Mus musculus: one gene and its partners. The protein of the gene in region 1 purifies or fractionates together with the protein of each later gene. This does not show direct contact. Links are inferred from orthologs where the notes say so. Each region holds a gene or a part of one and is shown in the gene's direction. Other genes may lie near its edges.

Evidence for each region.
Region 2: the proteins of Igf2bp3 (region 1) and Hnrnpu purify together in Homo sapiens (affinity purification with mass spectrometry; 3 studies listed by BioGRID and IntAct, with this or other methods). This does not show direct contact. The link is inferred for Mus musculus from reciprocal best matches to the Homo sapiens genes IGF2BP3 and HNRNPU.
Region 3: the proteins of Igf2bp3 (region 1) and Hnrnpa2b1 purify together in Homo sapiens (affinity purification with mass spectrometry; 4 studies listed by BioGRID and IntAct, with this or other methods). This does not show direct contact. The link is inferred for Mus musculus from reciprocal best matches to the Homo sapiens genes IGF2BP3 and HNRNPA2B1.
Region 4: the proteins of Igf2bp3 (region 1) and Fus purify together in Homo sapiens (affinity purification with mass spectrometry; 3 studies listed by BioGRID and IntAct, with this or other methods). This does not show direct contact. The link is inferred for Mus musculus from reciprocal best matches to the Homo sapiens genes IGF2BP3 and FUS.
Region 5: the proteins of Igf2bp3 (region 1) and Ilf2 purify together in Homo sapiens (affinity purification with mass spectrometry; 3 studies listed by BioGRID and IntAct, counting the BioPlex papers as one, with this or other methods). This does not show direct contact. The link is inferred for Mus musculus from reciprocal best matches to the Homo sapiens genes IGF2BP3 and ILF2.
Region 6: the proteins of Igf2bp3 (region 1) and Ddx5 fractionate together in Homo sapiens (co-fractionation; 3 studies listed by BioGRID, with this or other methods). This does not show direct contact. The link is inferred for Mus musculus from reciprocal best matches to the Homo sapiens genes IGF2BP3 and DDX5.
Region 7: the proteins of Igf2bp3 (region 1) and G3bp2 purify together in Homo sapiens (affinity purification with mass spectrometry; 3 studies listed by BioGRID and IntAct, with this or other methods). This does not show direct contact. The link is inferred for Mus musculus from reciprocal best matches to the Homo sapiens genes IGF2BP3 and G3BP2.

Annotation. Positions count from the first base shown.
Region 1 is NC_000072.6:49,212,155-49,216,256, reverse strand, and holds the start of Igf2bp3 (insulin-like growth factor 2 mRNA-binding protein 3), read left to right. Parts: upstream 1-1,302; 5' UTR 1,303-1,785; coding exon 1,786-1,960; intron 1,961-2,081; exon of another isoform or gene 2,082-2,560; coding exon of another isoform or gene 2,561-2,612; intron 2,613-2,929; coding exon 2,930-2,990; intron 2,991-2,996; exon of another isoform or gene 2,997-4,102. UniProt on the Homo sapiens protein: RNA-binding factor that may recruit target transcripts to cytoplasmic protein-RNA complexes (mRNPs). This transcript 'caging' into mRNPs allows mRNA transport and transient storage.
Region 2 is NC_000067.6:178,335,016-178,339,264, reverse strand, and holds the start of Hnrnpu (heterogeneous nuclear ribonucleoprotein U), read left to right. Parts: upstream 1-1,449; 5' UTR 1,450-1,693; coding exon 1,694-2,312; intron 2,313-3,106; coding exon 3,107-3,218; intron 3,219-3,309; coding exon 3,310-3,383; intron 3,384-4,249. UniProt on the Homo sapiens protein: DNA- and RNA-binding protein involved in several cellular processes such as nuclear chromatin organization, telomere-length regulation, transcription, mRNA alternative splicing and stability, Xist-mediated transcriptional silencing and mitotic cell progression.
Region 3 is NC_000072.6:51,467,046-51,471,176, reverse strand, and holds the start of Hnrnpa2b1 (heterogeneous nuclear ribonucleoproteins A2/B1), read left to right. Parts: upstream 1-1,331; 5' UTR 1,332-1,500; coding exon 1,501-1,506; intron 1,507-3,750; coding exon 3,751-3,786; intron 3,787-3,881; coding exon 3,882-3,992; intron 3,993-4,124; coding exon 4,125-4,131. UniProt on the Homo sapiens protein: Heterogeneous nuclear ribonucleoprotein (hnRNP) that associates with nascent pre-mRNAs, packaging them into hnRNP particles.
Region 4 is NC_000073.6:127,966,175-127,970,278, forward strand, and holds the start of Fus (RNA-binding protein FUS), read left to right. Parts: upstream 1-1,304; 5' UTR 1,305-1,390; coding exon 1,391-1,403; intron 1,404-3,387; coding exon 3,388-3,412; intron 3,413-3,542; coding exon 3,543-3,697; intron 3,698-4,104. UniProt on the Homo sapiens protein: DNA/RNA-binding protein that plays a role in various cellular processes such as transcription regulation, RNA splicing, RNA transport, DNA repair and damage response. Binds to ssRNA containing the consensus sequence 5'-AGGUAA-3'.
Region 5 is NC_000069.6:90,479,201-90,482,700, forward strand, and holds part of Ilf2 (interleukin enhancer-binding factor 2), read left to right. Parts: intron 1-1,403; coding exon 1,404-1,508; intron 1,509-1,792; coding exon 1,793-1,870; intron 1,871-2,163; coding exon 2,164-2,266; intron 2,267-3,500. UniProt on the Homo sapiens protein: Chromatin-interacting protein that forms a stable heterodimer with interleukin enhancer-binding factor 3/ILF3 and plays a role in several biological processes including transcription, innate immunity or cell growth.
Region 6 is NC_000077.6:106,779,856-106,782,675, reverse strand, and holds the end of Ddx5 (probable ATP-dependent RNA helicase DDX5), read left to right. Parts: coding exon 1-207; intron 208-419; coding exon 420-826; 3' UTR 827-2,320; downstream 2,321-2,820. UniProt on the Homo sapiens protein: Involved in the alternative regulation of pre-mRNA splicing; its RNA helicase activity is necessary for increasing tau exon 10 inclusion and occurs in a RBM4-dependent manner. Binds to the tau pre-mRNA in the stem-loop region downstream of exon 10.
Region 7 is NC_000071.6:92,080,945-92,085,175, reverse strand, and holds the start of G3bp2 (ras GTPase-activating protein-binding protein 2), read left to right. Parts: upstream 1-1,431; 5' UTR 1,432-1,602; coding exon of another isoform or gene 1,603-2,304; exon of another isoform or gene 2,305-2,426; intron 2,427-4,231. Other genes in the region: uncharacterized protein Gm46933, read right to left, coding at 1,603-2,304.

The DNA of each region.
Region 1 (4,102 bases):
TTTGAAAGAGAACACCATATCAAATTATCAATTGCTGAAGGCGTTTGTAGTATGAAGCACATATTTTCTCTATTCACATTTTTCAACTTGCGAGAGTAGCAAAACATTAGATTTCTGCCTGTATTTTCAGGCTATATAGAGCTTAATTTCAGTCATCCAAACCCGGCAATTTCTCTTTTCCATAAAATGCCTGTTAAAAATATATCACAAGTTATCTTTGAAGCCTTTGAGTAGAGCACACAACCATTAAGCCACAGTTGAAGGTTTTCACAAGGACAGGGGTACTGCCCTTTTTTCCCTATTCCTGTTCTCCGGCTCACATTTAGTAGGATCAGGAAGGCTCCACCGGGCCCAGACCCAACCCCCCAACCACCATTGTGCTCGTTACCTACAGGGAAAATTATGAATGGCTCTCACAGTCAAAGGAAGGCGGAAAGAGCCGAGGAATAGTTTCCCAGCGCGGCCGCCACCTTAGGCTGACGCTGAACAGGGTTCCCTTAGAGTCCCAAGTTCTTTAACAAAAATTATTTAAATAAAAGTATCAGTCCTCCCCCACACCCAGCCCTCCCCCTTCGAAAAACCACAGGAAGCGAGGGTTTCCCTTTAAGTACCGACTTTTCCCACTCGGCCACCCCCAGCCCCACAGCCTCCGCCCCGCGCCCCTCCCCCACGCGGCCAGCCCGCCCCCGGCCTCATTTATCCAGAGTCTTCTCGTAGCCGAGCAGCCAATGAACGGCGAGGCGGAGAGCCACCCGGAGCGCAGGCGGAGGAGGTGTCGCGTAGACACCCGCCCAGGACGTCGGCTCCCCTCCCCCACGCCGGCCCGGGCCGCCCCGCTTGCTCGGTCCCCGGGGCCCTCGAGGGGAGCGGCGCTCTGCCCCCGGGTTCTACTTTCCCCGGTCATCAGAGCCACCGACTGAGTTCGAGATTGTCATTCAGATTTCGTTGTTAAGTGACCCATTTTTTAAAAATCGAATGGTTACAAACTACGGTAACTGCAACCGCGGGACCCCCTAACCGCTTCCTCATCTTAAGGAAAAAGGATCGTTCGTCTGACCCTCCCGAGGCTCGGACCCTTTGGAAACTCGCCGTGCCCATCGCGCCTGGCGCCGGCTGCAGCGGCTGGACGCTCTCCACCCCCTCCCCGGCTCCGGCTCCGGCTCCAGCTCGGGGTCCCTCCTCGCCCAATCTCGCTTCCCCTCCCCCTCTCGCTTTTTTTTTTTTTTTTTTTTTTTCTCTTTCCTCCGAAACCCACTCTAATTGAGGCGCTGGGATTCCTCACGTGAGACGTTGATTTGTAGTTTGAACACGTGGCTCATTCAAAAAGCCGGACACTCGGAGCGGCTGCCCCCGCCCCGCTCCCCTCGCCGCTGCCAGTCACCCCTCGGGGTTTTTTTTTTTTACGGGGAGGCGGCGCCTGCCCCACGTAGTGTGATATTTTCACAGCCCGCTGGCCGCTGCCAAAGGGGTTGGGGAGGAAGAGACAAAAAGTAGTTTCCCCCCGCGCCTCCTCCTTTCTCTCGCTAATCCCGCCTCCTCCCCAGAGTTAGGAAGACTCGACGCTGGGCTCGTCGCTAGGCTTTTTCTTTCTCTCTTTTTTTTAATACCCAGAAGAGGAAAAAGGACCCTGGGATCTGGTTTTCGCCCGCCGCTCCCGTGCTTGGGTCACTGTGTGGGTTTGAAAGCCAAGAGGAGAGGAACAAAATCCACCGGCTCCATCCTCCGCCGTGGGTGCTTTTTTTAATTTAGCATTTTCCTCGGGTTTTAAAACGACCCCTTTTCACAATGAACAAATTGTACATCGGGAACCTCAGCGACCACGCCGGCCCCGCGGACCTGGAAAGTGTCTTCAAGGACGCTAAGATCCCGGTGGCGGGCCCCTTCCTGGTGAAGACGGGCTACGCGTTCGTGGACTGCCCGGACGAGGGCTGGGCCCTCAAGGCCATCGAGGCGCTTTCAGGTGGGGCCCGCGCGCGTGGTCGGGGCCTCCCCGTCTCCGCAGCTGCCATCCGGGACCCCGCTTGCGGGGCGGGTGGGGGTGGGGAGGGGGACGCGCTGTCAGTCGCGGGGCGCGGCGCGGCGCGTGCTGCAGGCCGGGCCAGGCGGGCCTTGGGGCCCAGCGTGGACGCCCGCCGGGCCCTCTGTCTGGTCGCTGTCCCCCAGCCGTAGAGAACAGAAAGTGGCCTGAGCCTACGCCCGGGGGGAGGCCGCGTCCAGGCGGTCCCGCTCCACGCCGCCGCGTCCACCTCGCGGGGTCGTTAGAGCGAAAGGGGCAGGTGGGCGGCGGCGGCCGGCTGTTGCCAGAACGGCAGCCCTGCCACGCGCGGCGCCGCAGTCCCGGCCCGTGCGCGCAGCCGCGGCCCGGGTGTCTGAGTGCGCTCTGCCTGGATGCCCGAGGGGAGAGCAGCTGTCCGTGCCTTTCGGTTTCCACCGTCCCCAGCTGGACTCGAGGCCGGCGCCTTGATGGGTCAGCGCGCGTGGACCAGCACCCCGGCCGCCCAATCTCCTCCTGGCACCCTGGCTCTTTAATCCCATCGCCCAGTGCTCCAGGCCAACCTGGATGTGGACCAGAAAGAAGGCCGCGCGCCCCCATGGCAGGCTGTTTGTTGGGGGTGTGTCTCTTGCAGACCTTGGGGTGCGGGGTGGCCCTTGGAGGGGGTCAGGAGGCGAAAATTGCAACCCAAGTGGTGAGCCTGACTCTTGCTCTCCCTCCCCAGCTTTCTGCAAGTTAAAAAGCCACACCCACCCGAAGGGTCAGCTCTGCACCCTCTCCTTGCCCTGCTCCTCCCTTGTCCTTGAGTCGGGTGGGAATCTTGGGGCCCTGCTGAGGTCACTGAAGCAGGGTGTGTTTTCTCTTAAAGACTGTAGATTTCAAGGTGGGGAAAGCTGCTGAATTTAGCCCGTCGTCTTGCCTCTTGTGTGTTCACAGGTAAAATGGAACTACATGGGAAACCGATGGAAGTTGAGCACTCGGTCCCTAAACGGCAGAGGTGAGCGGATTTACCCTTTTCTGGCCGCTTTTTAGGGAGGAAGCACAGAACACAGATGCAAACTCGGACCCTTTGGCTTACACGCTGGGGCCACGGTTCAGCTAGCTCTTTTTCTGCTTGCCTTTAAGTTTATGGCAGGTGTGTGTGCGCGCGCGTTGATAATTCTGGGACGTAAATGGGGGCTTGCCTGCGGCCCCTGCTTCTGGGTTATTGTTGCTGTTTTAAAAGCCTGTCAAGGAAGCTCTCACAGCTACATGTTCTTGGCAGAGCAGGTTTAGGTCTCAACTGGCAGCCCGAGTTTCAAAAGCCAATAGTCTTTGGGAACCTACGGGATTTAGAAGACAGGTCCAGGACAGATGTGGAGAAGCTGGTCCGCCGTGGTGGGCGCTTCTAATACAGGAGGAGGAACACAGTTGCTTTTGCCCTGGTTCACTGGCCAGCCAGCGGCCATTGGAACACAGTGAATGCTGGGGTCCTGGGGCCTTTCAAACACTCCAAAGTTGTTTTTTTTTTTTTGTTGTTGTTGTTTTTTTTTTTCCTAACAGTGCCTTTGTTCCAGCTCCTCCTGTCCCTTGGTGTATTTTGCTTACAAATAATCACCAAGAGACGGTGAAGGCTGGGGGAATCTGCAACTTCACTGAGATTTCTCTTCTATGAGAGCATCTGTAGCTGTCACTTTACAAAATATTTGCAGGCTATTTTAGCTACTGAAGCTTTTTGGAGAAGCGCCCCCCTTCCCCTCCCTCCCTGCCCTCCCCCCCCCCCCCCCCCCCCCCGACTCTGTAACTCTTAACTGGAAAGACTGAGGTTAGCCTGCTGGGTTTTGCAAGGTGGGGTTAGGGTTTCTGGCTGGCTTTTCAGTCTTCCCCCATTCCTAACCTGGAGCAAACAATAAGCCTGAAGTTAATTCAAACCAGGGCTGTGTGTATCTGGTTAAGTGTTTCTGAGAGTGTGCTCTGGGGGACAGAGGGATTTGCCCTGCAGAGACAGAGGGCAAGAATGCTGTGTGACTGTTTTGAATGAAGCTCTCTTCCACATGAATCACTTCACACTCCTCGTTTTAGAAATAAACTAGTGTGGATACTTGTAGGTTCCTTTTTAAGTCCTTGTTT
Region 2 (4,249 bases), on another chromosome or scaffold:
CAATGAATTTTATTGACTGAGTTGCTTAGTTGCTTAGCTTGAGACAGGGTTTCTTTGTGTAGCTCTGGCTGTCCTGGAACTGGCTTCATAGACAGGGTGGGGGTGGGGGTGAGGGGATGGGGGTGGGTGGGTGGGGTGCCTCTGCTTCCTGAGCGCTGGAGCCAAACTTGGGTGTCACCACTGCCTGCCTGGCTGACACTGAATTCTTGATCATCTTACCTGTATCTCCCAAGTGTTGAAATTATACACATGTACCACCAAGCATAGCTTGGGTGCAATCTACACAGGAAGGCCCCAGTGTAGAAATTAAATTCTATATAAAAGTTTCAAGAACACAACATATTTAATGCCAGAAAACAAATCATAATTTTTTTTCTTTTCTTTTTTGAGATAGGGTCTGGTATTCAACCCAGATAAGCCTGGAATTTACTAAGTAGCCCAGGCTAGCTTTTAACTCTTGATACTTCTGCCTCACTCTGCCAAGTAATAGAACTACAGGTGTTTTCTTTTTTTACTAAATCCCAGCCTTTTGTTACTACCAGTTTGTAGACAAGTCAGCAGGTATACAAACATGTTTAGAGTGGCTGAAAAAACAGGGAGAGGATCAAAGTGCATAATCTAGCTGGGTGCTGGCTGTCTTCCTCATCTGTAATTAAAGGGTCTCCAAACTGGTGGATCAGATTTGCAGGGGACAGAGGCCTATCTTTATAGTACAACGAGGGGAACTTCCATGAAAATCTAAGGCTTACTCAAAGGTCAATAGAAAATACGGTGAGTAGCAACACAAGGCCCGCTCTATATGGCTGTTAGGCATGGTGGAGTACAGCAAGCCTCTTTCCCAAACCTTGCACCACTGGTTGGGGAAGAGACAAAAGAAAGGCTCTGGCCTCGCCCTTGCGGAACTTAAAATAAGTCCGACTGGCAAGGCAGGACTTGTAAAATTTAAAAACGCAGTTAAATGGTGGAAAAACTAAACAAAACACCACCTTTGCATAACAATCGCCTATGGGTGTTCTACAGGGCAGCGGTGGAAACTTGAAGAGTTTTTTAAACCTAGAGCCGGAGGGACAAAAAAAAAAACAAAAACCAAAACAAAAAAAAAAAAACCCAAGAAACAACAACAAAAAAAACAACCCGAAAACCAAAAAACTAAACTAAGATGGAAGAAAGGAGGTTGTTCTCGAGTGGAAAATGCCAGGTGAGGACTGAAGGCGGGTGGAGGAGAGCCTCCGCCAGGACACAGAAGGCAGAGCGCCGGTGGAGCGCGGCGGCTCAAGAGCCGGAAAGGCCGGCGGCCACTGCGGCGGGTCCGTTTAACCGAAAGGTGGCTTCTAAGAGCCTCCATTTGCGCGGTCCGGCCCAGCGCGGAGGTCGCGCAGTGGGGGCGGGGCGGGGCCTGCGCGCGCAGCCGCTCTAGCGGGCCTCGCCTCGGCAGGGGGCGGGGCGCCTATATTACGTGCGCGGCGCCGCCCCTGCGAGAGGACGTTGCGTGCTCGCTCGCGCCGGGCGAGTCTCCGCGTCTTGCCTCGCGAACTCGGTGAAAGGAATTGGCGCCGTTCGACACCAGGCGGGTCCGTTCTGCAGCAGCACTCAGCCATCTCCAGCCGCAGCCGCCGCCCGGGCCGACCAGCAGCAGCCGCCGCCGCCACAGGCCGAGGGAGCCAGCAGTCAGCGGGGAACCGGGGCCCTCAACATGAGTTCTTCGCCTGTTAATGTCAAGAAGCTGAAGGTGTCGGAGCTGAAGGAGGAGCTCAAGAAGCGGCGCCTCTCCGACAAGGGCCTCAAGGCCGATCTCATGGATCGACTCCAGGCCGCGCTGGACAACGAGGCAGGAGGCCGCCCCGCCATGGAGCCCGGGAACGGCAGTCTCGACCTAGGTGGCGATGCGGCCGGGCGCTCGGGAGCGGGCCTAGAGCAGGAGGCCGCGGCTGGCGCCGAAGACGACGAGGAGGAGGAGGGCATCGCCGCTCTGGACGGCGACCAGATGGAGCTGGGCGAGGAGAACGGGGCGGCGGGGGCGGCTGACGCCGGCGCGATGGAGGAAGAGGAGGCAGCGTCGGAAGACGAGAACGGCGACGACCAGGGCTTCCAGGAGGGGGAAGACGAGCTCGGCGACGAGGAGGAGGGCGCGGGCGACGAGAACGGTCACGGGGAGCAGCAGTCCCAACCGCCGGCAGCGGCGGCGCAGCAGCAGCCTTCCCAGCAGCGTGGTGCCGGCAAGGAGGCCGCGGGCAAGAGCAGCGGCCCCACCTCGCTCTTCGCGGTGACGGTGGCGCCGCCAGGGGCGAGGCAGGGCCAACAGCAGGCGGGAGGTAAGAAGGCGGAAGGTGGCGGGTGAGTGTTGCGTGATGGGTGCGCGTGGCGGTGGGGACCGTGCCCCAGGCCTGCCGGGGCCCCTCGGGGCGAGCGCCGCGGGAGGGTGGGGGCGGGGGAGCCCCGGGAGGCTCTGCTCGCCATGCCGGCGGCGCCTCCATTATGTATGTCGGGCGCCGGGGTGGGGGGAGCGCTGCAGCTGCCGCGGTGGGGGGGCCGGCCGGGCGGGAGCGCCGGCCGCTGGGGCGCTGCGTGCGCGCGGTCCGGGCACATGTCGGCGGTGGGGGGAGGGGAGAAGCCCGAAGGTCCCGGAGCGGGCGGGCTTTGGCGGCTTAGCGCCGCGGTATTGTGCAAGGAGCGCAGGGGCTCGTGGTGACGTCACTTCCGGCGGCAGGCGCGGGGAGCGGGGCGGAAGCTCAGTACAATGCGGCGGCGGGGCACGCGGGCTCGTGTGGGGGAGGGGAGGTGGGCCCAGGCTTCCCCCCCCCTCGTTTGAGCGCGGCCGGCGCACGTGGGCCCGGGCGGTGTCCCGCTTTTTTTTTTTTTAAACTCTTTTTAAAAAATGCTTTCTGGAAGGTTGCGGTAGGCTGGCAAGTTCAGTCTTCAGACTGCGTCACTGTGTCCAGTCCAAGTCCAGACTTTTTTATTTTCATTTGTCGATTAAAAAAGTCAAAGAATCAGTCAGAAAAAAATAATCAGTAACAGCTCTTGAGGCTCGAAACACAAAAGGTGCTTAACTGCATTATTTAGTTTTCGGCCTGATGCTTTAAGGCGGTGTTCTGTGTCGTTATAGGAGACGGCAAAACAGAACAGAAAGGTGGAGATAAAAAGAGAGGCGTTAAAAGACCGCGAGAAGATCATGGCCGAGGGTATTTTGAGTACATCGAAGAAAACAAGTACAGCAGGTAGAGGCTCCTCACCCAGTTTTAACAGTCGCCCGCTCTTTTTGTATACAAGGTGGGGAAAGCTTTATCAGGAGACAATTCTGTCTTTCAGAGCCAAGTCTCCTCAGCCACCTGTTGAAGAAGAAGACGAACACTTCGATGACACAGTGGTTTGTCTTGATACTTGTAAGTGAGGCGGACTTTCCCGCTCTTTGCTAGTTTTCAAGTGCAGTGTTAACATTGGTTTTAAGTGTTAGGAAAAATGTGTTGATCTTAAAGTGGAAAAAACCAGTTAAGAAACTTATTTTAAAGCAGGAAGGTAGTAGCTTAATGCTCAGGCTACAGTAGTTTAATATTAATACCACTTCAGTTGTATTGATTTAACAAGCTCTAGTAATTGGTAATATTTACGAGTTGAAACTTCTCAGTACTTGGGGGATGTAAAACTAAATAATTTTTGCTCGGCTATCAGAAACTTGTTTTTTTAAAAACCTGCCTGTAACTTGTCCTTAGATTACATGATTTAGTTTTTTCTCGTGGAACTATGTTAAGTGAGCTATTTGGGCTAGTTGAATACTTACTGATTTTCCCATTAGCACACAAGTGTATTCCCTATTCTAAGGATTGTAATATTAACTTTCAATAACTGCTCTTTTGTTCTCAATTCCAGTTCAGTAGCTGCTGCTTTAACATAAGTTGATTTCTTCCAAAGACCTGGGGCAGCAGCAGTGGGCTATCTGAGCCACTAGCTTTCTTCAGCAGCGAATGGTATCAATGGCAGCACTGTAAATATGCTACTTAACCCAGTTGGGTTGCAATTGAATATGAGGAAGTATTGCAAACCATGAAATGGGCTTTAGCTGTCAGATTTGTATTTTTATCCTTTAAAGAAGTCAGTTTAGTATTTAATAAGAACATATCTTTTGGTGTGAGCAGAACAAAAAAAGTACAAATCAGTGCTTAGTTACAGGATTTCACTTGGTAGAAGGGGTTAAAAGCTTGGATTCTCATGTTTTCCCTGTACAAATTGTTCAGAGCCCTGAGAGTTAAGT
Region 3 (4,131 bases), about 2.3 Mb from region 1:
GAGAGCGCGGGCCTCGTGGTCAGCGCCTCCGCGGGGAGAAACAAAGGCGGCGGCGGGGGCTCAAGGGCACTGCGCCACGGGCCCGCGCCTCCCCCATCCGGCGGCGGCCACGTAGCCGGGAGCGCGCCGCAGCCCGGAGCCTCGGGCCTCGCAGCTGCAGAGCCTGAACCGCTCTCTCCCTGCGGGCCTGCGACGAGGCTGGGGGAGGGGAGGCCCGCGCTTTGTCTGGAGTCTCGGTAGCTGTCATCCGGCTCCCACCCTCATGCACAATTGTCCCATCTCCCCCACGCACCGGCGCGGCGCCCGCCTCAGCGAGGCCCCAGCCGGTTTCCCGCAGCCCGCGGCCCACGGGGCTCGCAGCCTCCCCGCAAGCTCGGACGCACGGAGCATCCTAAACCCCACCACACGCAAGATCGAAAAAAAGCAAAGGCACGAACTTCACCGCTCCGATGCTCAGGGCCGCGGATCCTGCAGAGTCTCCCGCCTGCGCGCTTCGGTTCAGCCACATCCGAGGGGAGGGGGCGCGGGCAGCTCCGCCGGGGGGGAGGGGGAGCACCGCCCACGCCCTGGCCGCGCGGGGCCCGCCGGGAACGCGTCCTGCGGGGGGCGGCGCGCGCAATGCTCACCGTCCGCGGCGTGGCGCCCAGGGGGTCTCCTGGCTGGGGGGAGGGGGGGGAAGGCGGGCAGGAAGGACCGCGGAGGCCTCTCTGCGTCTCGGAGCGCGCCAAAGCGGGGCTCCACCCACCTCCTTGCCCGGATCTTGAAGGCCGGGGAGATAAACAGCGGGGTTCTTTAAGCACCACCTCTCACTAGGCGCGGGATCCCAAGGCTTGTGGCATCCGGGGTGGTACTTGGACTAAAAGTCCTTCTGGGAGGGACCGAGTGAGAACCCCTTTGGGACGTGTAGAAATATTTGTGTGGTTCGAGAATATTTGTGCGGACGGGCTTGGCAAAGGCGTAGCTGCAGAGAGCACGCTTGGGTGGAGAGGGCCGCACGCCCCAGCGCCGGCCTAAGCCCCTCCCGACGGCGTTATTTCAAACTGCGCGACCGTTTCTCCGCTCCCTACGCGGAGGTGGGGGCCGGACCTAGTTCCGGACGTAGTAACACGCCGAGCGCGAGCCTTCCGCAATTCACGGAACACAGTTGCGCAAGTGATGTAAAGCAGTCCCGCTGTACCTAAAGGGGGAGTGTCACGTACTTGGCGTAAGGAGAGTGTAGGCCCTTCCCGCCATTGGCGGCGGTTAGGGCGTTTACGTAACGGCGTGACGTAAGCGGAGACGCGTTAGTGGGGGGAAGGTTCTAGAAAAGCGGCGGTCTCGGCTCCAGCGGCAGTAGCAGCGGCGCCGGTCCCGTGTGCAGGAGCTCCTTTGCGGCCCAGTTTCTTGGCCATCGCCTGCTCTCCCCACAGCGCCAGGACGAGTCCCGTGCGCGTCCGTCCGCGGAGGTCTTTCTCATCTCGCTCGGCTGCGGGAAATCGGGCTGAAGCGACTGAGTCCGCGATGGAGGTAACGGGTTTGAAATCAATGAGTTATTAAAAATGGCATGGCGAGGCCGTAGGCACCGCAATGGAAACCGGCCACCCGCCTCCGTGGTCCGGCGGAGGGGATGCGGCCACTCGAGTGGCGGTTGGCCTTGGCGAGTTTCTGAGGGGTCGTTGGAGGAGGCCTCTGATTGTCCGACCGCCTTCCCCGCCCTCAGCCGCCCGGCGCCATTTCCCTCAGTTGGGGTGGGGGATGGGAAGTGCCCGCCGCGACCGGGCTGGACCGCTAAAGTAGCGCGTGAGCGGGCCATCGCTGGCCTTTCGATGTGCGCGGGCCTAGGGGCTCGGTTGTGTTCGCGGCGGAACGTTTCTGGGGCCCCCCCGGCTTCCCGGAGCGAGTCTGCGAAGCTTCCCCTCCCCCCTCTCCCGGGAACCGGATTTGGCGGCCGCCATTTTCCCGTCTCCTTCCTCGCCACGATTTTGCTTTCAACGCTTTAGGTTTACTAGTTTGGTTTTCTTTTTTCACCACTGCGTAGACGTGTTTAGCGATTTTCCTTTCTTTTGGAAGTCTTCATACCGTTTCGAGGTGGATTTAGCGTTTTGAGCTTGGGTCTTCAGCGTCCTGCGCACCTCGCTAAAGGCTCTCTGCCTTCCCCTCGACGAAATGGCGCCATTGCTTTCTGAAGCCACCGAGGCGCGGGGTGGGGGCGGGGTGGCGGCGCTCCACGAGCTTTACTGGAACAGGCAGAGAGAACGTAGTACAACCGAGGCCTGGGCGGGTGGCTGAAGGCAGCGTCGCTGCAAAGAGACCGTTTTATTTTTCATAATACGTAAGATTACGGGTGCTGTAGTAAAGCACTTGAGCATTAGTATAGTAGGAGGAAGTCAAAGTGGAAAAAATGGGAGCGCTCATCAGGAAGCTAGGGAGGCTATGTTGAGTGCAGGGTTACTTTCCTTTTATTGCAGAACTTTTATCTGCTTAAAGGATCCTCGGATCGAAATAATTCAAATTATAAGCATTTTTAAGGGAATCTTCGAATTTGTTGGTAAAGTCAACGGATCCTTAGCACGTGGTGTTCACTTTAAGGAAGTGAAATAGCTGACTTTTCATAGTTAGCCTTCGCTTAAAGCCTGGTTCAGTGGACGAAAATCCACGTCCTGGCTATATAAAAACTTAGTTTGGGGTCACAGTGTTTGAGCGTGGTCATTCGGTTTTTTTATTTTTTATTTGTTTGAAATTATGATGCATCATTACACTGATAAGCATTAGCTTTCGAATTGAAAGGGGTCTCCTTGGTTATTTTCTTTGACTCTAAGCACACTTATAAATAAAATAACCTTGTTTATAATCGATAGTGGACGTCTGGTAAGTTTGGAAAAAACCCGAGGTAAGTAAAGAGCTTTTGCTTTCGTTAGTGATATGAAAAAACAAGGTGTATTTAATACTTGCAACTTAGTTTAAGGAAAGCCAATTTACTGACATTTTAGTAGAGCTACCAGAAACACTATTTGGAGTCCTGATTAAGGCTTTTGTAACTATTTTGACTATTTAAAACAATTTTGGTCGTTTTTATTAAACATTTCAAAACCTAAAAATTGTAAACATTGGCTTTTTGAGCACATTTTGGAGAAACTTACAAATTTAGGCTATACAGTAAAATAACGGATTTGTTTTATAATTTTGCTTTTTCATTTCGTTGTGCAGTCATAGGTCCTGGATAGTATGACCTAATTTATGAACATCTTGATAAGTTTTTGTACTTAGCTATTGGAAAGCCAGTATTAAGTGCCTGACAAAACCAGATTTAAGGTGATATCTGGAGTTTCAGCATTCTTCATGGAGCTTGTTTCAGAGTTGCAGGATTTTTTTTTTTCATCTTGAGATACTTACAATTAACACCAGAGGGGGCAGCTCAGGGAAAAGCAAATATGCCACTTTTCAGAAACTGAATCTTGGAAGTGGTGAATTTGGAAACAGGTTTTTTAAATTTTTTTTAAATCTAAAAAGTAGTAAATTTTGGACTTGGGTTGTAGAATTTAATGAATTACAAAAGAATTCTTTAATACCCTTTAAATGACCTAAGAGCTGGGTATGGTTTTTCTGAATTTTTTTGAAGAAAATCTAAGAAAGTTTACGTGAATTAGAAGTTAGATCGAATATTAGTGACTTTGAAACTTGTATAGCTCAGGCAATTTTTGGTGTAACACAACTAATATGCAGTTTAACATATGGTTTAAATTTGATGTAAGTTTTTTTTCTCCCCCCCAGAAAACTTTAGAAACTGTTCCTTTGGAGAGGAAAAAGGTACTCTACCAGCAGGTCACCTCATATTTAAGAATTTAATTTCCTGCATACAAAGAAAGTGTAAATAAAAATTGAAATGGTATTTCCCTTTGCAGAGAGAAAAGGAACAGTTCCGAAAGCTCTTTATTGGTGGCTTAAGCTTTGAAACCACAGAAGAAAGTTTGAGAAACTACTATGAGCAATGGGGAAAGCTCACAGACTGTGTGGTACGTACGTTAACTCTGAAAGTCTGGCTGTATGTTTGGGTGTGAATACTAGGGAATACCAGTATCAATACATTCTAATTTATATTGCTACCTAATGCCGGGAAATTAAATGCTTATCTTTTGGATTTAAAGGTTATGC
Region 4 (4,104 bases), on another chromosome or scaffold:
TTTTTGTTCTTATCCACTTGGTAAACTCCCAGTAGAAATGTCATTCCCTCAGACCCATCCTAACCTACTCATTGCAAAATGAATTACCTGATCTCTGTGATCCCAGAGTCCCTGGTATTGGAATTACAGTTGGTTGTTTGCCCACATTCGGGTACTAGGAATTGAACCTGTGGTTTCTCTAGAGCAGCTGTCTCTCCAACCCCCTTGAATTTCGTTTTGTCCTTGAACTGACAAAAAGTGTTCATGCCTTTAAATGCTTTCAATCATTTCCTGTAACCAAGAAGCATTTTGTAGTTCCCCAGGCTTAGACTTTAAAGATCAGAAGGTCTGACCCTGAACTGCCTCGTACCTCATTCACATTCTTAGTCTAGCCGCTCACTGCTCTCATAAGATCCATCTCCCCTCCACCTCTGCCTAGCTCCGGGACTGGAGAGGTAGGCAGGGTCATGCACAGGCTAAACGATCGCTCTATCATTAAGCTACATTCCTCAGATTTCTTTACAAGATGATGATGGGGGAAAACCAGGACGACTGTAATTCCAGGATGCACAGGGCTAAGGCAAATAGGATCAAGGATTCGAGATCAACTGAGCGGTACTGAGAGGCCAAATTAAAAAAAAAAAGGGGGGGGGTAATTGTGGGTTTGAAGCCTCTTAAGTTGTATACATATGTGTTATTGTTGAACCAGCCTTAGGGCCATAGGGTCCAGACTAAAGCTCATCTTCTTCCAGGTTAAACGTCACAATCTATAAACCTTGTTAAGGTCTAAAGAACAGCAAGCCGAGGCATTCCTAAGTGAAAAACGAGACTGATCAGTGTGCTGTCTGTCAGGAGAGAATGTGGAGGACCAGAGCGACACTGCGTTCGACTCAGTTGCTAGGCCAGGGCAAGCGAAAGTATGCTGCATCTTCCCCAGTGAAAGTGGGGCCCAGCCGCTGGGCCGGTCGGAAGGATTTCGGTTCCCACACCCGGAGACTCCAGGCCTTGACTACACAGTTCCGCTCTCGGGCGCAGGGCCCTGGCACCGCCCCTAGCGGGAGGCCGGGTCGTACCATTCTGCCTCTAGTGGGGTAGAGGTGTGTCGAAGGCGAGCCCCGGGCGACGGACGAGAGCCACCGGCCGCAAGGAGAAAGCGCGTGCGAGTGTTTGGGAATAAAGCGAGTTCGTTTTCCCTCTTGTCTTCCTGAGCTCTCCGTATCCCCGGGGAAGGGTGGGGACCTGGGCGTGCCTCCCCCTCGCGCTTCTCCACTTGGTACGTCCCGGTGGCGCGTAGGCGGCAGGCGTACTTAAGGCGGGCGCGGGAGGCGGGGCCGCTCAGTCCTCGCGGCATCGCTTCGCGGTCGTCTGGAACTTTGTTGCTTGGCGGCCTGCGCTGCGCGCGTGCGCGGACATGGCTTCAAACGGTATGTGGGAGCGCGAGGCGGCGACGGCGCGTCCCTGCGAGGCCTCGTTCCCTCGCAGCAAGGCTTTTGGCTTTCGGCTGGGCCTGCGGTGGCGGGCGAGTGGGCTCCCCCACCTCTGGCGGGAAGCAGCGGGTGGAGGGAAGGGGAGGGCGGTGTCGCCATTTTGTTTGGCTCCCCTGGCGCCTTTGGCGCGGAGACCGTGGGTTTTCTCTCCTGGCCCGGTCACTTGAGTCGAGTGTTGAGAGAGACGCTGCCTGGCGACGTGGGGTGACCGGGGTGAGGGAGCTCTGGGTCTCCGCAGCTTCGCCCCACCCCCTCCCCTCCCTCCGTTCCCGGCCTCGCTTTGTCGCAGTGCTGCATCCGGGCACTTGGTGCGCGCACGCGCTCCTCTGGCCCCTCCCCCTTCTCGCCGCGGCCCCCCTCCCCCCCGCCAGGAGTTGGTCCGTTTTTTTTACTTTTTTCTTTTTTTCTTTCTTCTTCTTTCTTTCTTTCTTTCTTCTTCTTTTTTTTTTTTTTTTTTTTTTTTTTGTCGCGAGACCCTCGGCGGAAGACTTGTGGTCCGGTGCTGGCCTCGCCCTGCTCGCTGGGTCCCTTGGGAAGGGGCGGGGCCACCTCTTCCCGCCTCCGTGGCCGCGCAGCGGGAGCGGAAGCTCCTGGCTGGCCTGCGTGTCCGTGGGATTGGGAGGACCGCCAGGGGATGACCAACGGAGTCAGGGACCCCGGCCTGAGTTTCCCACTTCAGAGTTGAGTTTTCCTAAGGCCGGAAGGAAATCAGAGGAGTCGCTCTCCGAGGCCACACCCTCTCGCTGTCAGTTTTGTCCCAGTGCGGGGGTAGAGCTTGGGTTTCCTGCAGGGAGCTGCTGAGCTACAGCTTCCCAGATTGTTGAAAGTGCTGTCTGCTTTGGGTGCGCATGGTAGGCGGGAGCTCAGTTATTTGGAGCCACACGTCGGGAACCTTGGGAGCACCATGCCATTTGGGGGTTGGAGAGTCCCATTCTTCTAGCTGCTTCCTTGGGCTTGAACTCAACTGTGTAATAGCGCTGACTGTCAAAGTTAATCTTGACATCCGGTGATACCACCTTTCCTGTATACAGAGCTGCTGTGAAGATATAAAATGTGGTGACGTGTGTTGCAGGCCTTGGAAAGACCTGCAACAAGTCAAAAGGATTTTTAAACTTAAGGGATGATCTGTATTTTGAGTTTTTTTTTTTTTTTTTTTTTTTTTTTAAAGATTGAGCCAGGTTTGGTGGCACACACCTTTAGTTTCAGGACTAAGAGGTAGAAGTAGGCAGATCTATGTGAGTTCGAGGTGGTCTACATATTGAATTCTGGGATAGATACATAATCGAGACTTCTGTCTCAAAAAAGAAAAAAGGCAAAAAGGACATGATGTTGGATTTTTTTTTTTTGTTGTTGTTGTTTTTTTTCGAGACAGGGTTTCTCTGTGTAGCCCTGGCTGTCCTGAAACTCACTCTGTAGATCAGGCTGACCTCGAACTCAGAAATCCATCTGCCTCTGCCTCCCAAGTGCTGGGATTAAAGGCGTGCGCCACCACGCCCGGTCCGATGTGGGGCATCTTTAATCCCAGCATTTGGGAGGCAGAGGCAGATGGAGCTTTGTATGTATTAAATTGGAGGCCATCCCGGTCTACAGAGTGAGTTCTATGCAGAGAAACCCTGCCTCTAGATAGAGAACCAGTCCACCCACAGAGCTCTGTGGCTGTCATGCTTAGTGGTCGCTTGTTTAGTGGGTCCCAAGCAAGCCCTGGGTTCTACCCAGAACAAAAGTCTAAGACTTATTGGTGTCTAGAAATTTGTGCTTTCTTTGCTTTTTGTAATAAAACTTGGCCATTTTGTCTCATGAGGAACTAACTTATGCCTGTTTTTGTAGATTTGTTTCATCTGGAGTGCCTAGTACAAAAGTTGAAGAATTTATTTCTATTCTTAACTAAAATTAAGACCTTTTTCTTTCCCATCTTTTACAGACTATACCCAACAAGCAACTCAAAGGTGAGTATACTGTTTCTGGTCTGATGCTAGAAGACAGCAAGGGTGATTGATCTAACTTGAGTTTTATGTATTTCTGTATGCTTTTGTTCTTATTCTTTTAGTTGAAGATTACTGGTCTGTTTTCTTGTAGCTACGGGGCCTATCCTACCCAGCCTGGGCAGGGCTACTCCCAACAGAGCAGTCAGCCCTATGGCCAACAGAGTTACAGTGGTTATGGCCAGTCAGCTGACACTTCAGGATACGGCCAGAGCAGCTATGGTTCTTCTTATGGACAGACCCAAAACAGTGAGTTCTTAGTAGAACACATCTTCATTTCTTTATGAATGTTAACTTTTCTTAAACCTGAACAATACCGAAATTCCCACATTTTCCCTAAAGTTTTGTAGTCATTCTTTTAAAACAAAAATACTGATTTGTAATTGATTTTATATTGGACTATTTTCTTCCTGCTTACTATTTTTGTGAAAAAGCAAGTTTGCTAAAGAGAGAACCAGTTTAGAATGACGGATAGGAAGGAAATGGTCTGCTTGGGAATTCTTGAAGTTGGCTGACAATCTGTGATTCACAGAGGTGGTGCCATTTTTACCTCACAAGGGCAAAACATTTTTCTTTCCATATCAGCACATTTAAAATGTAGTTAGGGCCAGGAGTGGTGGCACACACAACTTTATCCAGCACTCTGGGAGGCAGAG
Region 5 (3,500 bases), on another chromosome or scaffold:
TTGGGAGGCAGAGGCAGGTGGATTTCTGAATTCGAGGCCAGCCTGGTTTACAGAGTGAGTTCCTGGACAGTCAGGGCTATACAGAGAAACCCTGTCTCGAAAAACCAAAAAAAAAAATATATATATATATATGAGTACATCATTGCTCTCTTCAGACACACCAGAAGAGGGCATCAGATCCGATTACAGATAGTTGTGAGCCACCATGTGGTTGCTGGGAATTAAACTCAGGTTCTCTGGAAGAGCAGTCAGTGCTCTTAACTGCTGAGCCATCTCTCTGGCCCGTTTTTTTTTTGTTTTGTTTTTTTAATTCTAAAGATTTATGTGTGTGTGTCTGCATGTATGTGTACCACACACATGCCTAGTACCAGAGGAAGCTGAAGAGGGAGTTAGATTCCTTGGAACTGTAGTTAACTGGTGGTTGTGAGACCCATGTGGGTGCTGGGAACTGAACCTGGGCCCTTTAAGAACAGCCAGTGCTTTTAACTGCTAAGTCATCCCTCCAGCCTCTATTATTATTATTTTCATTATTTTAAAATGATATACTTTTATATACATTGGTGTTTTGCCTCTTTCTATATGTATATATGTACTATATATTATATACATATGCATATATAATCTGTGTGAGGGTGTTAGATCCTCTGGAAGTGAAATTACAGAGAGCTGTGAGCTGCCATGTGGGCACTGGGAATTGAACCTGGGTCCTCTACAAAAGCAGTCTGAGCCATCTCTTTAGTCCCTCTATATTTAAGAAGTTCTTTTTATTACAGTCAGTACTACATGTACACCACAGCAAGTGTGTGGTGATGGATCAGAGGACAACTTGTAGGATTTAGTTTTCTGTGTGGGTCCCAGAATTGATGACTTAGGCCTTTGTTGCCAAGCTATCTCACTGGGTCCTGTTTATATATTTTTGAGACCAGATCTCATGAAGCTGGTTTTGAACTGCTAGTTCTCCTGTCTCTTTCTTCAAAGGGTTGGGATTACAAGGATATAACAATTTTCTTTTCCTATTGTAGTATCAAAAAAAAAAATCTTATGTATTTTCTTTCTCAATTTTTTTTTTTCTTCCCAAGACAGGGTTTCTGTACTTAGTTCTGGCTGTCCTGGAACTTACTCCGTAGACCAGGCTAGCCTCAAATAACTCACAGAGATCCTTTTTTTAAAAGATTTATGTATGTAGCTTATGTATATCAGTGCCCTGTCTGCACATACATCTACACACCAGAAGAAGGAATCGGATCCCATTACAGATGGTTGTGAGCTACCATGTGGTTACTCAGAATTGAACTCAGGACCTCTGGAAGAGGAGGCAATGCTCTTAAACCGCTGAGCCAGCTCTTTAGTCCCTCTTCTATGAATTATTTTTGATAAATAACATGATTTGATTTCTGGTCTAGTGTGAAATGGCTTTTCCCCGGGTCAAGCCAGCACCTGATGAGACCTCCTTCAGTGAAGCCTTGCTGAAGAGGAATCAAGACCTTGCCCCTAATTCTGCTGAGCAGGTATGTGCTTTCCTTGGGCTGTGTCAAAAGCCTCGAGTTACGCTCTACCCTATTCTGGTTAAGGAGAGTGCTGTCTTGCCTGCGATTATAAGCCAGTGGTAATCACTTGAGGCCCTTAGGTTTGATTCCCATCAAGAATGCTGTCAGAGCCCAAACTCCTCTGGGTGTGTAATTATTCATCTTCCTTCTTATTGTATGTGGGGAGTCTGGTGATGATGATGACATTAAATATATATTGTGTGTAATTTTTGGCTTAGGGTATTTTTGCTTTGTGATGTTTTCAGGCTTCCATCCTTTCTTTGGTGACAAAAATCAACAATGTGATTGACAACTTGATTGTGGCCCCAGGAACATTTGAAGTGGTGAGTTTTTGATGACTTAATTCTAAGAAAGGGTATCTCTGGTGGTATGGAAATTTACTTGGCTCTTGCCTGTTAATCTTTCAGTTGTCTGTTATCCAAATTAAAGCCTAAAATGGAAAAGTACAGAGAAATCACTGGTCAGCTAGCCATGCCCAGGGCTCTCTGTGGTTATCTGGGGGATGTGATTTTATCATTGCTGCTTCCAAATCTGGGTATTTAGAAGCAGCTGAAATGGTTCTATGAGGACTCAACACCTTTATTTTCTTAAACTTACTTGAAATCCCTTTCAACAGCAAATTGAAGAAGTCCGGCAGGTAGGATCATATAAAAAGGGAACAATGACTACAGGACACAATGTGGCTGACCTGGTGGTAATACTAAAGATCCTGCCAACATGTAAGTGTATCTCTTATCTTTCTGCGTTGGAGATGGTGCACAGGGCCTTGGGCATGCTAGCTTGTCATGGTATGCCTGAAAGCACAGGGCTCCTCAAGGTTTTGAGTTTGTTACTGAATATGTAGTGGCCATAGCAGTCAGGTCAGTGTAGGTCAGAGGTTAGCAGGAGTCTCAGCCCACTCTTTTTCTTTTCTTTCTTTCAAAGATTTTAATGGATTTATTTCTATTACTGTTAAGGGTGTATGTATGTATGTATATGTATATGTATATGTATATGTATATGTATATGTATATGTATATGTATATGTATATGTATATGTATATGTATGCATACCATGTGCATGGCCTTGGGCTTATGGAGGTTAGAAGAGGGCTTTGGATTTCCTGGAACTGGAGTTACAGATGATTATGAACCATCAAATGGATGTTGGGAACTGAACCCAGGTCCTCTACAAGAGGAACAAGCACTCTTAACCTGAGGCATTTCTCCAGCCACCCCAGCCCACTTTCCTAAGCATTGAGATTAGATTTAAGGCTAGTAATAATTGAAGCCCAGATTCATTTGTTTATTTCGTCATTATTTGTGTGTGAATGTATGGAAGGAAAATAGCAAATATATTATTTACTTATTGTTTGTTTGTTTTGAAACAAGGTCTCACTATGTAGCCCTAGTTGTCTTCCAGCTTGCAGAGATCTGCTTGTCTCTATGTTCTGAGTGTTGTTATTAAAGGTGTACACCATCATACCAGTCTGTTTGTTTGTTGTTGTTGTTGGTGTACATGTGTAAGGTAATAGTGACGTACACCTTTAGTCCCAGCACGTGGAAGGCAGAGGCAGCCAGATATCTGAGATCGAGGTTACCTTTACACAGGGAAACCCTGTCTCAAAAAACGAAAACAAAAGAAAACCAAAAAAGAGAAAGAAAAAAAGATGTGTATACCCGAGAATTCTTATTCTGAGTCATTCAAATTCTGTCCAGGCTTTTATTACACTGGTAAGAGTGTTCATTCTAGTTGAGTAAGCTTCAGTCTGTGGGGTAGAAATAGAGATGCTAAGTTGTTTACTAATAGAGGAAATCGGGCTCAGCGGTTAAGAGCACTGACTGCTCTTCCAGAGGTCCTGAGTTCAAATCCCAGCTGCCACATGGCGTCTCACAGCCATCTGTAATGGGATCCAGTGCTGCCTTCTGGTGTGTCTGAAGACAGCAATGGTGTATTCACATACATGAAATAAA
Region 6 (2,820 bases), on another chromosome or scaffold:
TTGTCATCAATTATGACTACCCTAACTCCTCAGAGGATTATATTCATCGAATTGGAAGAACTGCTCGCAGTACCAAAACAGGCACAGCATACACTTTCTTTACACCTAATAACATAAAGCAAGTGAGCGACCTTATCTCTGTGCTTCGGGAAGCTAATCAAGCAATTAATCCCAAGTTGCTTCAGTTGGTCGAAGACAGAGGTTCAGGTAAGGATCTTCGTAAGAGATGTTTCTGGTAGGTGGCAGTTACCTCTTGTCTACAAAGTGGGATCGGAAGAATGAGTACTTCTTATTTTGAAACCTAAAGAATCTAAAAGCACTTAAGACCCAACATAAATAGAGCTATCTAACTCTCTCCTATCTTACCACACTTATGCCACAGATAAAAATTGATCAATTTCCACTTACTTTCTTGACAGGTCGTTCCAGGGGTAGAGGAGGCATGAAGGACGATCGTCGTGACAGATACTCTGCAGGCAAAAGGGGTGGATTTAATACCTTTAGAGACAGGGAAAACTATGACAGAGGCTACTCTAATCTGCTTAAGAGAGATTTTGGGGCTAAAACTCAGAATGGTGTTTACAGTGCTGCAAATTACACCAATGGGAGCTTTGGAAGTAATTTTGTATCTGCTGGCATACAGACCAGTTTTAGGACTGGTAATCCAACAGGGACTTACCAGAACGGTTATGATAGCACTCAGCAATATGGAAGTAATGTTGCAAATATGCACAATGGTATGAACCAACAGGCATATGCATATCCTGCTACCGCAGCTGCTGCGCCTATGATTGGCTATCCCATGCCAACAGGGTATTCTCAATAAGACTTTAGAAGTATATGTAAATGTCTGTTTTTCATAATTGCTCTTTATATTGTGTGTTATCAGACAAGATAGTTATTTAAGAAACATGGGAAATGCAGAAATGACTGCAGTGCAGCAGTAATTATGGTGCACTTTTTTCGCTATTTAAGTTGGATATTTCTCTACATTCCTGAAACAATTTTTAGGTTTTTTTTGTACTAGAAAATGCAGGCAGTGTTTTCACAAAAGTAACTGTACAGTGATTTCAAATACAATAAATGAAGGCAATGCATGGCCTTCCAATAAAAGATATTTGAAGACTGAATTAAGTGAAATTGTACTTTATTTTACATATATAATGTCATGTACAACTTGGCTTAGATAGTGTTTTTGGGGGGGATTTTTGTTTTGGTGTTTATTTTTACACAAGGAAAGTTGACTACTTCCCATTCCTGGATTTAGGAGAGGAACTCAGAAGGCCCTTAGGATGATCTGTTTGTATGGGAAGAAGTTAGAGACAATGGATTTTATAATTCCAGATTTATTGGATAAAAGCTTTGTCATTTTTCAGTATCAGGGAAGTAAGTCATTTAATAGCCTATTTTCCTTAAGAGTGAACTACAGGACAGTAACTATATAAATACATGTTGATTTCTTTTGCAAAACAGTTTTAAGTAATGACATTTTTGCTTTATCAAAATTTTATTCCATCTCTTGGTTTTGTTGTCAACTGCCGAAATGTGCGAAGCTGAAAGACTGTTAGCCCAAGAGCTGTGTGCACTGTGTCTTTAGTGCAGGATTACCTTGTAGGTTCCTAGTCCTCGAGGACTTGCCAGAGTGCTTATAGCCACACCTGGAAGTCAGGAATGTCTCCACATTATTTCAGGGGATTTTAGGGGTCTTGTAGGCTAGTCACAAGGAAGACGACATAACCAAAAGCACAGTAAAGTTTTCGGGTTAGGTTCACTATGGGCTTAACAGCTAGAAGGATTGGGGGGAAAGCTTTAGATTTAAGTAGGATCACCAGCAAACAGCTTTGTTTCAGAATGGCTATAAGTAGGTCTAAATGTCTTCCCAAAAAATTGGTGTGTTTTTTGCCCAGGACAAAAGTCTTAAAGGAAGTTATTTAACTTTTTGTTTTTAAAATGGGCTTATTGTTAATGCCTTATTTATAAAATGTTAAAACAAAATAGAATGTGCTGGGGGTGGGAGCTGGGCGTGTTTTCCAGGGCTGATAACATTGAAAACTGGTTCATCCTCTAGTACTGAGTGGTTTTCAATGGCATGGCTAGTCAGATTCATGATTTTTAAGTATAGGTGTAGATTGGAGCATTTATTACATATTTTACTGTTCAATGTCTTAATGTGGACCTTTTATTTTGTAAATAATTATGGAAATGATTGTGGGGCTTGGAAAAAATTACCTTTGAAGTTTTAAAAGACAGTCCACTTTTTAGCATGTGTGTTGTGTCCAGCCTGTGGTTGTCTTAACTAATAAATGTGATTTTTCTCCCCATTCTCTTCATTTATTTATTCGCGTAGAGGCCTCTTACCTGGGTTTTTGCACCCCCGCCTTCCCCATTCCAGCTATCCTGGAATTTGATACATAGGCCAAGCTGGCCTTGAAGTCAGAGATTGTCCCTTATGCATATGTTAACATAGGAGTGAGCTACCACAACAGTCCTGCACCTTATAATCAAACTCCAGTATCAAAAACACCCCTTTGTCCTAGTCAGGTATTAACTGATTTCTACGAGAAGGGAAGTACAGAGGTTAAGAGCACTGCTCTTCCAGCAACCATACGGTGCCTCACAACCACCTGTAGTGATGGCCTCTTCTGGTGTGTCTGAAGACAGCAACTCACAAATCTTTAAAAAAAAAAAAAAAAATTCTTTTTAAGGAGGTGGTTAATAAATTCCCGAAGCCCTTTTTAAGACCTGGTCACCCTGTCTGTCCAGCCACACCCGGGAGAGAGTGGAGTGGCCATTGGTGATAATGTTTGCCAGCATTAGTAT
Region 7 (4,231 bases), on another chromosome or scaffold:
AGTATTATCGAGAGAGTCTCCTTATGTACCCCTGGCTGACTTAGAATCTGCTTCGTAGACCAGGTCAGCCTAGACCTTGTGATCTTCCTGCCTCTGCTTCCCAGGTGCTGGGATTAGAGGTATGTAGCCCCGAGCCTGGCTGAGATGAGTAATACGAGCGTGTCCTTAGGGTAAACCGTCTCGTAAGTCTCACTTTCCTCATCTGTAAAGTGTGCATTCAAATAGGTAATTACGTAAGTGGGTTTTTGTGAGACATAAGTGACTTTTATAAAATACCAGTAGCGTATCTGGTCTATAAACACTGTACTTAAAAGGTAATCTGCAGAAGTAATGCATTAAGAAAAACCATCTCAGAGTCATTTAATAAATGATGGTCTGCCTATATATTTTGCATATAAAAATTATTAAGCAATCCAAAATAATGCCAGTGTAGATTTTGGAGGCTCAAGTACCAATCAGCATTGCCTTTTGTGAACCTTTTTTTTTTCTTCTTCTAGGAAATCTCTACTGTGAGGGAAAACTGAGGATGTATTTAATCCTGCATTTTGCTTGATTAAAATGTGTTCTATTCCTCTCAATTGCCCTTCCGTTCCTTTCACCGTTTCATAGCTTCATTCCCAGTTTCTTCTGCTATCTTGAAATTGAAAACATTGCTATTAGTGGCAAAGTAACATTTGGTCTACAAAGGCTTTTTTTTCCCCATGAATCAAGGTTCATGAAGCAGTGTTGTTTCCATAACTAAGTCCCAGTGGCATAGATTTATAAGTGGCTTTTTTTTTCTTTTTTAAATTTTAAGCCTTTCAGCCTTTGTTCCAGTAAGTTCCATTTAAGGATGAAGCCACCAAGGCCATACAAAAGCCCCAAGCCCATACAGCCTATGTCATACTTTCCCCATACTCCATAGCTCGGCACCCTTATTTAAAACTAGCTGTTTGACATTGATGAGAAAGACTTTTAAACCTCCATTTCCTAAAACAGGCTAATTAAGCAATACAGGTGAGCTCACTGTGCAGAGTTCAAAACTGCATTTTAATGCTCCGATAACGCAGCAACCAGGACCATTACTAAATTTGCTCCCTCTTATCACGAATAAAGGCTCCAGGAATAACCGTTTGTAAAAGCCACTGGTTAGCGGCGAGCCATCTTTTTTGTTCGCGCCACCTGAGAGGACAGGGAGGCTTCAGCATCACTGCAAGAGAAAGGCAGCTTCCTTGTGACGTCAAATCAGCGGGCTCTCGCCCCGACTTTAGGCCGGTTCCGGTTCCCTGGCTTTCCGGACGCCCGAGCGAGCGAGCGAGCGAGCGCGGCGCCGTTCTGCGCGTGCTCCGCAGTGGGACGCGAGAAGGTTGGGTCTAGCTCTCCAAACTGATGCCTGATTGGCTGGCGCTGTGCTGGGGGGTTCCCTAGCCCTTTCCGCAGGGGTAAAACAATAAGAGGGGGCGGCGGCAAAGGGGGCGGGACGTCCGTGTTCTTGGAGCTCGTTGCAGCTCTAGGCTCTCGGGAAGAGGTGGCTGTGAGGGGCCCCGAGCTCGCGGCTCTCCGGATTCCGAAGCCTCGGGTTGCTTCGAGGGAGGAGAATCTGCTGCGGCCGATCCCGCGACACTACTGACCTCCGCGCGACGTGCCCGCCGCCGCTGTTGGTTGGAGGTGTGTACGGGGGCCGAGAGGGGCGGTCGGTGTGGTGGTCGGCAGGGGACATTTCCCTCCGCTCCGCGGCTCGCGGCAACCGTCCGGTGTGTGCGCTTGGTGTCGGGGTTGGTGCGGCGGAAACATTGTTCTCGCCGGCTGCCTACGCCAGCAAGAGTGCGTGCGTGCGTGCAGAGCCGAGCCTTTCCTGCAAGGTGAGCGGAAGGCTGCGTGGGGAGGAGGATGACCTGCGCGCGTGGTGCAGAGGAGGGCACAGGTGGGGCTGGGGATTGCTAGGATGAAGCAGCCCGGGGGTACCCTGTCCGCCGCCAGCTCCCAGAGCGCGCCAACGGGCGCCAAGCCGCGAAGCGGGGCAGTGGGCTCCTGCAGAGGCGGTTTCAGGGTAGGAAGCCCACCCGCCTGGTTCCTCCGCTCGCCGGCGGCCCTAGTTCCCGGTCGTCGCCCCGCCCGTGGGGGAGGGGAAGGAGGCCGTGTCGGCGGAGGCAGAAGCAACGCAGATGCGAAAGTAGCGGCCTCCGGGCACCATTTCTGTGCCCGGAAACTGAATCCGGGGTTGAAGGTGGCCGCCGCTCCACTTGCCGGGTGCTCGGCGTTTCCCCCCGCCCTCCCCGGATTATCCCGAACGTGTTCGGATACTGGGACTGTAACGTGCGTCTCCTACGTCCTTTTTCTGCAGACAATCTCTCCTGTTACCCAGGAATAAAAAGGACGTTTCAGTGCTTTGGGAATGGGCTTTTCTCCCCCTGCTATTCTTTGGGGTAGGACAAGGGGAGAAGAACGTAAGTTTCCCTAAATGGTGTGGATTTCGTTAGTGGAGTCTGATTGAGGTTTTCCTGCGTCTCTAAGGGCAGATTTATTTAGGTACCCCTGTGGTGCTTTGGGGGGGGGGGGGGGCTGTAGGGTCGTGTTCACAATTTCTACTCCCAAGATATAACTAGTTTTAAACCAAAGCACAAAAAACATTGAGGAGATGCCTTTTGCTTCTTAAAAACAAAACACGTGCAGCAAATCTGAATCAAGGAAAATTGCCCCCTTCTCTCCGGGTGTGATTGTTGTGCAGTTGATTAGCTTAAGGTTTCTGGTTTTTAGATTCTAGACACTATACCTCGCTTGTTCCAAGTACCTAGGCAGGGGAACCATTAGCTGCAGTTTAAAAGGATGCACTAATTCTAAGTGAGGATAGTAATTTCTTGTCCCAATTCCATATTTGGCAGTTATTGTAGCCCTAGGCATGTGAACCAAACTTTGAGTAAACACTTGATTTAGCGAAATTCAGTGATCCCTTTATGGTCTTTAGGTTTGGACCCAGTGTCCCACCACTCTGGAGTTAGAGGCAGGTGGTCTTTTGAGTTCGAGGCCAGCCTGGTCTACATACTTCCACAGGACAGCCAGGGCTACTCAGTGAGATACTGACTCAAAAAAATGGGGGAGGGGGAGTTCGGTCAGTTTGGACCTTAGGACGACTGAATTATATATTGTCCCTTCGTTACCGTTTTCGGACATATGCACTATCTAATCTCAGTGTATGAAAATTGTTTTGTTCTGACAAATTGATTGTGAGAACGGCTTCAAAGTGTGTTTCCCAGTGGCTTGGTTTATTGTGATGGTTTAGGTTATTGAGAATTCAGAATCAAAATATTGGCGGGCATGGATGCACGATTTAATGTCAGCACTCAGGAGGCAGAGGCAGGCAGATCTGTAGACTACAGAGAGTTCTGGGACAGCCAGGGCTACACAGAAGACCTAGACTCAAACAAAGCACACAAAACTAGAATTAGCGATGGGGGAAGCAAGCCTCAGATGGAGTACCGGAATGTTTGCAGAGTGGGTGGCTGTCTGTAGGTAAAGAATTCATTCGATAATTTAGAAGATTAACTTTGGCTAAGAGTCTGAATGACATGTTCAAGGCACCAATTTGCCTTGCTAGTACCCAGACCCAACCACCATTAGCTGATGATGAAGGCAGTTTCTTGTTCAGCCTTGGCCTGTGAACCTAGGGCAAGTTTACTATCTAGACTAAATGTTAACTCAATGACCTGAGTAGCCGGATTAGTAGGTGAGTTCTGGTTTTGAAGAAATTGTTGGCATTGTTTGTAGCAGGGCAGTGTGGGCAGCTCTAGCTTGTATTAGAGATTAAAATACCAAAATTTTCAGTATCAGCTACTGGAAATTTACAGATACTCATAGAGTGCCCTTAGATTCTTGACAGCAGTTTTTCCTTTGTTGCAGAATTGTCATTACACATTATGAATATTAGAAGTTATTTTCTAAACTGCCTTAATTTGTCCTGCTTTTCTGTTGAGTGGACATGAGGATGATGAATGACATCTTTGAACGTTTTACACTGAAGCACAAGTTGGATTGCTTGTGAACAGAAAGAGGGTGGAACAGAGTTGAGAGTTTGGACCTGGTTACTACACTGGCAGATGTGTGTTTGATAGCTGATAAAGTAAACCTGTGTGTTTTCCCCAAACTCTTAGCAAAAAATTGGGTTTTTTTGTGCCTTGGTTTATTTTAATCATCTCTGGATTATCTATCCAAAAATTGTTACTGTGCTAACATTGGGGATATTTCTTGCTGGATT